2 linked regions of the Coturnix japonica genome follow. The protein of the gene in region 1 purifies or fractionates together with the protein of each later gene. This does not show direct contact. Links are inferred from orthologs where the notes say so. Each region holds a gene or a part of one and is shown on either strand. Other genes may lie near its edges. The genes, in order: XRN2 and CDKN2AIP.

Region 1 (3,810 bases):
AACACAGTGACAACAAAACAGTGTAAGTCTTACTTTCTTCAGGAGTAAGGTCAGGATAGACTTCTTCCAAGGCAGCTCTAAGGCGTCGCTCATCAACGAATGGCAATAACGCAACACCTATGAAAATCAAATCATCCCATTTCAACAAGCAACTAATGATGCTTTAAACCAAAGCTCTCTAAACTGACTGACTGGGAAAAGCTTGAAATAGACAGCCCAAACATTTCAGCTTTCTAAGGCACTGTAGTAAAGAGCAGAGAAAAGATGAGTCTGAACTGATGTGTTCTGAGCAGCTATGGTTTCAGGAATGATAAATGGGTGTTTGTGAATGGCTATCCATGTAAAGATACTAGCATGGAAAGTCTGAATAAATGCTTTACCTTACAGTTCCATCAGTATGATAAAATAATAATAACAATAAAATCAGTTTCTGGGACCCTGCAGGCTGCCAAGGAGAGGAGGAAAAGTAGTATAGGACAGAAGAGAATACTCATGTCTGAGCACTCCTTTATCCTCCTCCCTTCTCACAGTCTGTGGAGAGAGACACTTAGAAGCAGCATCCCCTACCCATATCTGCTTCATTTAGGAATAAGATGAGGTCATTAAGACAGTCATTATTTATCTCATTTGCTAAAGATACTCTCCCCACAGAATTCGATTCTACTTTATTCAATTTATTAGGAGATAACAACAGAAGAAATCACTGTGTTCAGACATGTGGTGATGCAGATTATATAATTCATTAGGGACTATTCATATTAGCTATTAGTTTCACTCCCAAGTAACAGGGAGGCTCCTCTCAGGACCAAAATTCCTCACTAAGCAGCACATCTCACAACACTTCTCTGAGCCCATTCTTCATCATATTTGATAAAACTGGAGAACAGTTATCCCCGGGGTGTTCCAGTATTTTTCTTCAATTATCAGCTCTAAAAAGCACTAAGAAGTTTACCATAGAAATTCTTTAAAAGATTTAATTCCGTCACCTTTACTATAGGTTTTAATCTAGAGTTCTTATTCTAGTTTTTAATTTCATTTCCCTTACCACAAACAGCAGAGCTTTATCTGACCATGACAACAGCTTGCTTCTACTGATGAGCTTCCTACCAATGATACCCAATAGTTTCCTACTACTTAAAATACTGTTTTAAACTGTACATTTGATAACCAGACAAAAGGAATAAAGACAATTGCCTGAACTGCATCAGGGGGTAAAAAAGACCTTCACGTCGCAGAGCAAAAACATGCTAAGCAACATATAACACTCAGGTCTATTCTCTTTGATTTTGGTTCACTATCTGGATTTAAGTCACTGGTGTCTCTAGCTGGCTATTTCAAAGCACAGATGAAATGATTTAGAGAAGGAACCACAGCAGCATAGATGTTAGCAGAAACCTCCGGAGACAATCTTATCCAAACCCCTCCTCAAGCACAATCATAGGTTGTCCAAGACTATGTCCAGTTGGCTTAGAAGCATCTGTGACAATAGAGAATCTACAACTTCTCCAGGTTAGCATGTACCAGTGTTAGACCACCCTCAAAGGAAAAATAAAAGCGTGCTTTATTATGTTCAGATGGAACTTCCTGAGTTTCAGTTTGTGCCCCAATCATGATTTATACATCTAACAGAGCTGTTACACTGCTGGCTGAATACCAGATAGAAAAAATTGGCAGCTCATTAAAACTAATATTGTCTAAAGGAAGAGACTCTAATACCGTATCTATTTCCTCATTCTCTGTACACATTCAAGTATTTCTGTATTACTAAGCATTTTTCACTAGGCACTAACAAGCTGTTGATCAAACACAATAAGATCTATTAGTTAAATGCAAGGACAAGAGACAATAACATAGTACGACTAATGAAAACAGAAAAGTGATTAATCTAACTCAGGACAAATTAACAAATCTAGAACAACTGCTGAAATAACTGCTAACCATTGCCAATCCCATATCAGTTTCTAAATCATAATTTATTACTCGCGGAAATTCCTTCTCAAAAATACAGCTGCTGCAAAATACCTCTCCCCCACACCAGGTAAGACAAGTTACCCTTGTTACTTGGTATGTCATTATCTCACTAGCATCATTTCCCATTTTCCTTCATATTTTTGCAGGCCAATGTATAGTAGTTCAAAAGAAGAAACCTCAAGTTTCACCTTGCCAAGCGTACTTCTTTCCATTCAGATCAATAGCAAAGTCCTCAGGGTAGAAGTCAATTATGCTTGATTCCTGTATTTGAGAAAAATTTATCATTAAAACCAATTATGGAATTGACTGAGAATGCCACGTGTTAACTGTTAGCTCACACTCAGTAAGGAACATGCAAAGAACTTTGACTAAGAGAAACACCCCTTACTAAATACCATTTAAATAAGAAGTCTGGTAGGGCATTCCCATTGCCTACAATATCAGAACAAGAAATTAAGTGGGATAGGAGAACTCCTGACAACTGGTCTCTGCTCCCCAGATGAGTTTCAGAGAAGTTACAGAATAATTCTTCCTTGTTGAAAACTCTGATTCAAAAAAGGAATTGCCTGTAAGGATCTTTAAATAGTCTCTTTTCTGCCTGAAGTCAAAAGCAGCAAGTAATGATCACATAAAAACTGCAAGGCAGCAAAACCCTCACAGAGAGGAATAAACCAAGGATTCTTACCGGATCTGTCATGAGCTTCCTCCAGGTTGGGGGTAGAAAATTCCCACTTGCAGCTGGAAATACTCCCATCAGTTGTTCAAGAGGCTTGAACTGTCAAAAGTAAACCAGCAGATGTAGGATATTTCTAGCAAGCTGTTAAATCATAAATAAATAAATATGCCCTACCGGTTTCGAGCCCTTTTCAAAATCTGAGGGCATGTCTGCAATACCCTCAAAGTCAGAAGCGAACGGAGCGTAGTGAAAAGGGTAATACCAGTTCCAAGAGGCACAGCCCTAGGACATCAAAACAAGAGAAATACCATGAGACAACTCAAACGTGCAAAGGAAAAAAAAAAAAACATAGAAATCAAACAGCCCAGTAACTAAACTTGTTAAAACTTAGCCCAGCATCAACCAGGAGAAAGAGAAGTCCCCACAATTAGAAAAGAAAGAGCTCTTGCCTCTAAAGGTATTCTGGACTTCAGGTTGGGACTTAATTTTTCATAGCCAGATTAGAGCGAGTGAGTTCAGTGGATAGTGAATGGAGACCTCGGGCATTTCCTTGGCAGCACAGAACAGCAGATAGACTTCTCTGCCAGAGTACTCCTGCTATGTGCTAGGTCTGAGTCACTAAGGGAGACAGCCAAAGAGATAGACCTAGCACCATAACAATACAAAAGACCTTACAGCATAATCTTAACCTTAACTTCAGGACGCTGCAACATACCTCATGCTTATTTCCTCCCCCTTGAGAGAGAACACAAACACACACAAAAAAGCATCCAATAAAACCAAACACAAAAATGTCTTGCCAAGAGCAGGTGATCACAGTCTATCCACACAGTTAACAATGCCCTGGGGTGACTTAGAGCAACTAGACACATTTTAAACCTGCGTAGAGTTTCTAGCATATCTGAGAGTGAGAGAACTAATCCACAAGTTCTCCATAATAGCATAATTGCACAAGTCAAAGCCATAACAGAGATCTTAAGAGGAGTAGTAGTAGTATTTCTCTGGCAGCATACAATTTGCAGCACTGTTTTTCCAAGCTAAATCCCACTGTTAGCTTGAGAATATGAGGGACCAGAAAACCCTGATATGATGCACTCCACATTATATGAGTATCTGAACAGTATTTGTTGCAGGCTGAGAAGGTATTGCTTTAATTAGTTACT
Region 2 (4,474 bases), on another chromosome or scaffold:
AACTGTATGTCTGTGTGAGCACGTGCACGACATTCCACACTCTGGGGCTGAGATCTGGCCTGCTTCCAGCATGACACCAGCACTTGGTCGCCTTTGTCCCAAGAGAAAGGCTATGTTGATTCAGAAGCAGCATTGATTAACCACAAATAAAGGGTACAACGTGCTAGAAAGGTGCCAGAGCCCAGAAGATGCTCACAAAAACTTTTTGTGGCACAGAAGCGGGAAGGATTCTGACTTCTCCAGCTGTCATCTGTGGTTGTGTTCACCCATATGGTCAGAGGGCAAGGAAGCAGTCTCTTAAGTCGGGGAAAAAAATGTTGTTCTAATCAGTTCCCGAGTCACTCTAGAACTAGATAATGTGTCAGGCCTTCTAGCTGTACAGAGTGCAATACAGTCCTCAGAAGGATGCCTTTGGAGGAGCCCAGGTCTCACAGGTGAGACCATGTTACCTTACATGCATGGAGTGACCAAGAGCAGACACAAAATTCTCAACTGTGGGGGGCTATCTCTGATGTTTGGCACCAGGAGGCATCATTTCACCAGCAAGCCTGGAAATACCACTTCTGGAATCTCTCCAAGTGTATGGCATTGCCCCTGCCACTCTCTAGAGTCTAATTCACCCAAACTGCTACTCTTAAGTGGTAAGATACTAACCTAGCGTGGACTGGTCCTCAGTAGTTTCACTTGGCAGCTGAGTTGGCTGTGGAGCATTCAAGGTTGTGCTGAGAGCTCTGCTACGTTCACAAGATGACCAGTAACTCAGCAACAGCTACCCAGACCTGCCTGAATTCTTGCCATCCCTGAAGAGCAGCTTTCAAGTCTGGACCAAGCCCTAGCTGTGTTTGTTAGAAAGAGGACTGGTTCTTTGGAGAGCGTTACCAGAACGGCCAGCAGCATGGAGAGCTGGAGAGCACCCTGAGGCCTGTTTGCTAGGGCTTCCATTCCATTGGCCTTTGCCTTTCAGTGTCTGTATTAACTCTGAAGTGAAGAATTGTGGTAGCACGGAGTCAGAGGCATGGAAGACAGGTCCGCCCCATCTCCACATGGAACAACCTGAGTGCCAGTTGCATCCTTCAGGTATTTCAGGTTATTCTGCCTGATAACCCCCACAGGATGGACTGACATCTGGATAGAGTAGTGACACCACACCGGTGATGCGCATGGTGCCATTTCTGAACGTCCTGACACTGTGAATGAAGCCATGTCACTGAGTCCCCCACACAAGGCGCTGCCCTTTCCTTGCTCTTTGTGCCAGGTCCCCCTTCATGCCCGTGACCATTTGTTTGCTCCTGGCACGAGAGAACAGCGGGTGCGTTAACCGACAAAACAAAGGAAACACTTCCGTTCAGACCACGAGGACTGAGAAATCCCGCCGTATCTTTTCCACAGCCCAAACAAAGCCGCAGTGAAACCCGCAGCACGAGCGCCCTCCAGAGGGCGGCAGCGGCACATCCCGCTCTGCCCCGCCCCGCCCACGGCCGTTGCAGCCGTTGTGTCGGGGCCGCCCCTCGCGCCGGTTGTGAGGTCATCGCGCGCGGCCGGAAGGAGCGGGCGGTCGCCGAGCCGTTGTTCCGCCGCGGGGCCTGGCGAGCGGAGCGGGCGGGGCGGAGCGGGCCCCGCGCGGGCGGAAGGAGCGGCCATGGTGAGCAGGACGGCGGGCGAGCCGCTGGGCAGGACGGACGAAGAGGTGGCTTGGGCGGAGGCGCTGCGCGGGGCCTGCGAGCCCGAGCACCACTGGCGGTACCGGCGCGAGTTCCTGCTGCGCAATGTGGGCGAGCCGCCCGCGGCCGGCAGCGCCCAACTGCGGCGCCTCGTCTCCCTGTCCATGGTGTGGGCCAACCACGTCTTCCTGGGCTGCCGGTGAGTGCGCGGCGGGCGGGCGGGCGGGGGCGGCCGAATGGCTGGCGGCTGACGGCGCTCCTCCCCTCCTCCCCATCCTCCTCATCCTCCTCATCCTCCTCCTGTACGTCCCCCCTCCCGTCCCGCTGTCGCCCCTGCAGGTACCCGCCTCAGGTCACGGAGAAGGCGCTGGAAATGGCCGAAGGCATCCAAGTGACCGGCGCGCCCGTCCACACCACGAGAGACGAACTGGTTGCCAAGGTGAAGAAAAGAGGCATATCAAGTAGCAATGGTTAGCAGATAATAGCTGTGACAATACATAGGAGTCTAGAATATGCTTGTGTTGAATGTGCTAGCTTGGCCACGGGTTGACAAAGTAACGGGACGGCTGACTTTTAAAACTCCTCCTTATTTTTTTCCCCTTCTTTTTACTTGTTGATGCCTTTAAAACAAACGTAATGCATATACATTCAGTTGGCAATATCGAGCTCTTTTGATGGCAGTAACACTTCTACAGCTGTTGCCAGCTCCTTTAACATGATGTGGGTGGTTGTACTGTAGCTTATGTGTGTTCTTGTCTGCCTGGTGCTGAAAGCAAAGTAACATTAAAGCTTTGTGAGAAACTCGGTCTTTTGTTTCTTAAAAAAATATCCTAAAATAGTATTTTAAATACATGTTCATGATATTACTTAACAAAATACGCTTATTTTTAAGGTCAGCTAATATGTTAAATCTACTTTGGTCACTTTTGCTTTGGCCTTCAAGAATGCAAATACGTATGGGCCTTCAGATCCCAAACTGAAACTGAAAGTGTAGCGTATGGCTGCTGTTTGTTGGGGTTTTTTTTTTGCCAAACAAATGTTAAAATGATTTGAAACAGTAGGTTGTGTTTCCAATTTTTGTGTCAAAAATTACTAAAATATTCTGAAATAGTGGATAATTATTTGAAATTGCAATTGAAGGTATATTCCCAATAAATACATTTAATATTTGGAGGGATGACTGCTGGGTTTTTTTAGAAAATAAGATAAATCGCTTCACGGTGCAGAAACCCAAAGAGAATAACGTACCTGCCTTGTTTTGCAGAAGGGGTAGAGGAGCCCGCCAAGAAGCGAGCTGTTGAGAAATGCAAAGAATCTAAGGACACTGGACAAGATGTGAAAACAACCAAGGCTGAAGTCCCTATGGAAACAGAGAGCCCGTTGCCCAAAAAGCAGGATAAAGATACGAGCAAAGATTCGGAAAGCTCCCTGTCAACTTGCAGTTCAAATCAAGAAGCACTCACCACATCCATTGCAAAAGCAGAAGAAAAGCCTACTACTAATGCTGAACATACTGTTGAGCAAAGCCCAGCACCATCTTCATCAGAAAAAGAAGCAGGAGAGATTCCATCTAAGGAAGGCAAGTGTGAAAATGTGCCATCACCTGAAAAAGCTACGTTAAGTTCAGGGTCACCGACTGCTGCCCCACAGGCGGTAGCGGTGCCATCGGCTGCCAGCACTAGCGCCCTGCAGGCACCGGCAGTGCCGCCAGCTGCCACCAACAGCACCCCTCAGGCAGCAGTGCCACCAGCTGCCACCACTAGTGCCCCGCAGGCAGCAGAGGTACCAACAGCTGCCGCCAACAGCGCCCCACTGGTGGCAGAGGTGGCACCAGCTGCCACAAACAACGCCTCGCAGGCAGCAACGGTGCCAGTGACCCCTACCAAGAGCACCCCGCAGGCGGCATCAGTGCCGCCAGCTGCTGCCAAGAGCACCCTGCAGGCAGCATCGGTGCCGGTGACTGCTACCAAGAGCACAGCACAAACAAGTGCTGCATTGCTGTCTTCCAAAACCCAAGTGAGTGGTCTACCATCCGTGTCCAAGAGCGGCGCTCAGGCGGGCCCCTCTCTGCTGCTGGCCGCCAAGGGCAGCGCTCAGGCAGGCACATCACTGCTGCTAGCGCCCAAGAGCGGCACCCAGGTGGGAGCCTCGCTGCTGCTGGCTTCTAAGGGCACTGCCAAAGCGGGTTCCTCGCTCCTGGCCTCCAAGAGCAGTGCGGAGGTGGCTGCCTCATTGCTGGCTGCACGGAGCGGCACGCAGCAGGGTGCCTCGCTGCTCACCTCCAAGAGCAGCGCTCAGGCGGCAGCATCTCTGCTGGCCGCTCGCAGTGGTGCACAGCAAGGCCCCTCCCGCATCGGGGCTCAGGCTGCCAAGAGTACACAACTTGCTTCCAAGAGTGGTTCGCAGGCCAGCGAAGGCCCTGCTAAAGCTTTGTGCAAACCGTTAACCAGTGAAGATGCAAAGGAAAGACAGCCTTTTTTCAACAGACTGTATAAGGCCGTAGCGTGGAAACTGGTTGCTGTGGGAGGCTTTAGTCCTAATGTAAATCACGCGGAACTTCTTAACTCGTCTATCCAATCTGTCAAAGCTACGTTAGATGTCGCTTTCGTTCCCCTGAAGGAACTTGCAGACTTACCTCAAAATAAGAGCTCTCTGGAAAATATAGTTTGTGAACTGAGGTGCAAGTCTGTGTATTTGGGTACTGGCTGTGGTAAAAACATGGAAAACGCCAAAGCAGTTGCTTCAAGAGAAGCTTTGAAATTGTTCCTCAAGAAGAAAGTTATTGTGAAGATATGTAAAAGGAAATACAAAGG

What was found.
Region 2: the proteins of XRN2 (region 1) and CDKN2AIP purify together in Homo sapiens (affinity purification with mass spectrometry; 4 studies listed by BioGRID and IntAct, with this or other methods). This does not show direct contact. The link is inferred for Coturnix japonica from reciprocal best matches to the Homo sapiens genes XRN2 and CDKN2AIP.

Annotation. Positions count from the first base shown.
Region 1 is NC_029518.1:4,203,485-4,207,294, reverse strand, and holds part of XRN2 (5'-3' exoribonuclease 2), read right to left. Parts: intron 2,930-3,810; coding exon 2,822-2,929; intron 2,747-2,821; coding exon 2,657-2,746; intron 2,233-2,656; coding exon 2,160-2,232; intron 118-2,159; coding exon 34-117; intron 1-33. UniProt on the Homo sapiens protein: Possesses 5'->3' exoribonuclease activity. May promote the termination of transcription by RNA polymerase II.
Region 2 is NC_029519.1:35,251,138-35,255,611, reverse strand, and holds the start of CDKN2AIP (CDKN2A-interacting protein), read left to right. Parts: upstream 1-1,528; 5' UTR 1,529-1,639; coding exon 1,640-1,860; intron 1,861-2,000; coding exon 2,001-2,131; intron 2,132-2,925; coding exon 2,926-4,474. UniProt on the Homo sapiens protein: Regulates DNA damage response in a dose-dependent manner through a number of signaling pathways involved in cell proliferation, apoptosis and senescence.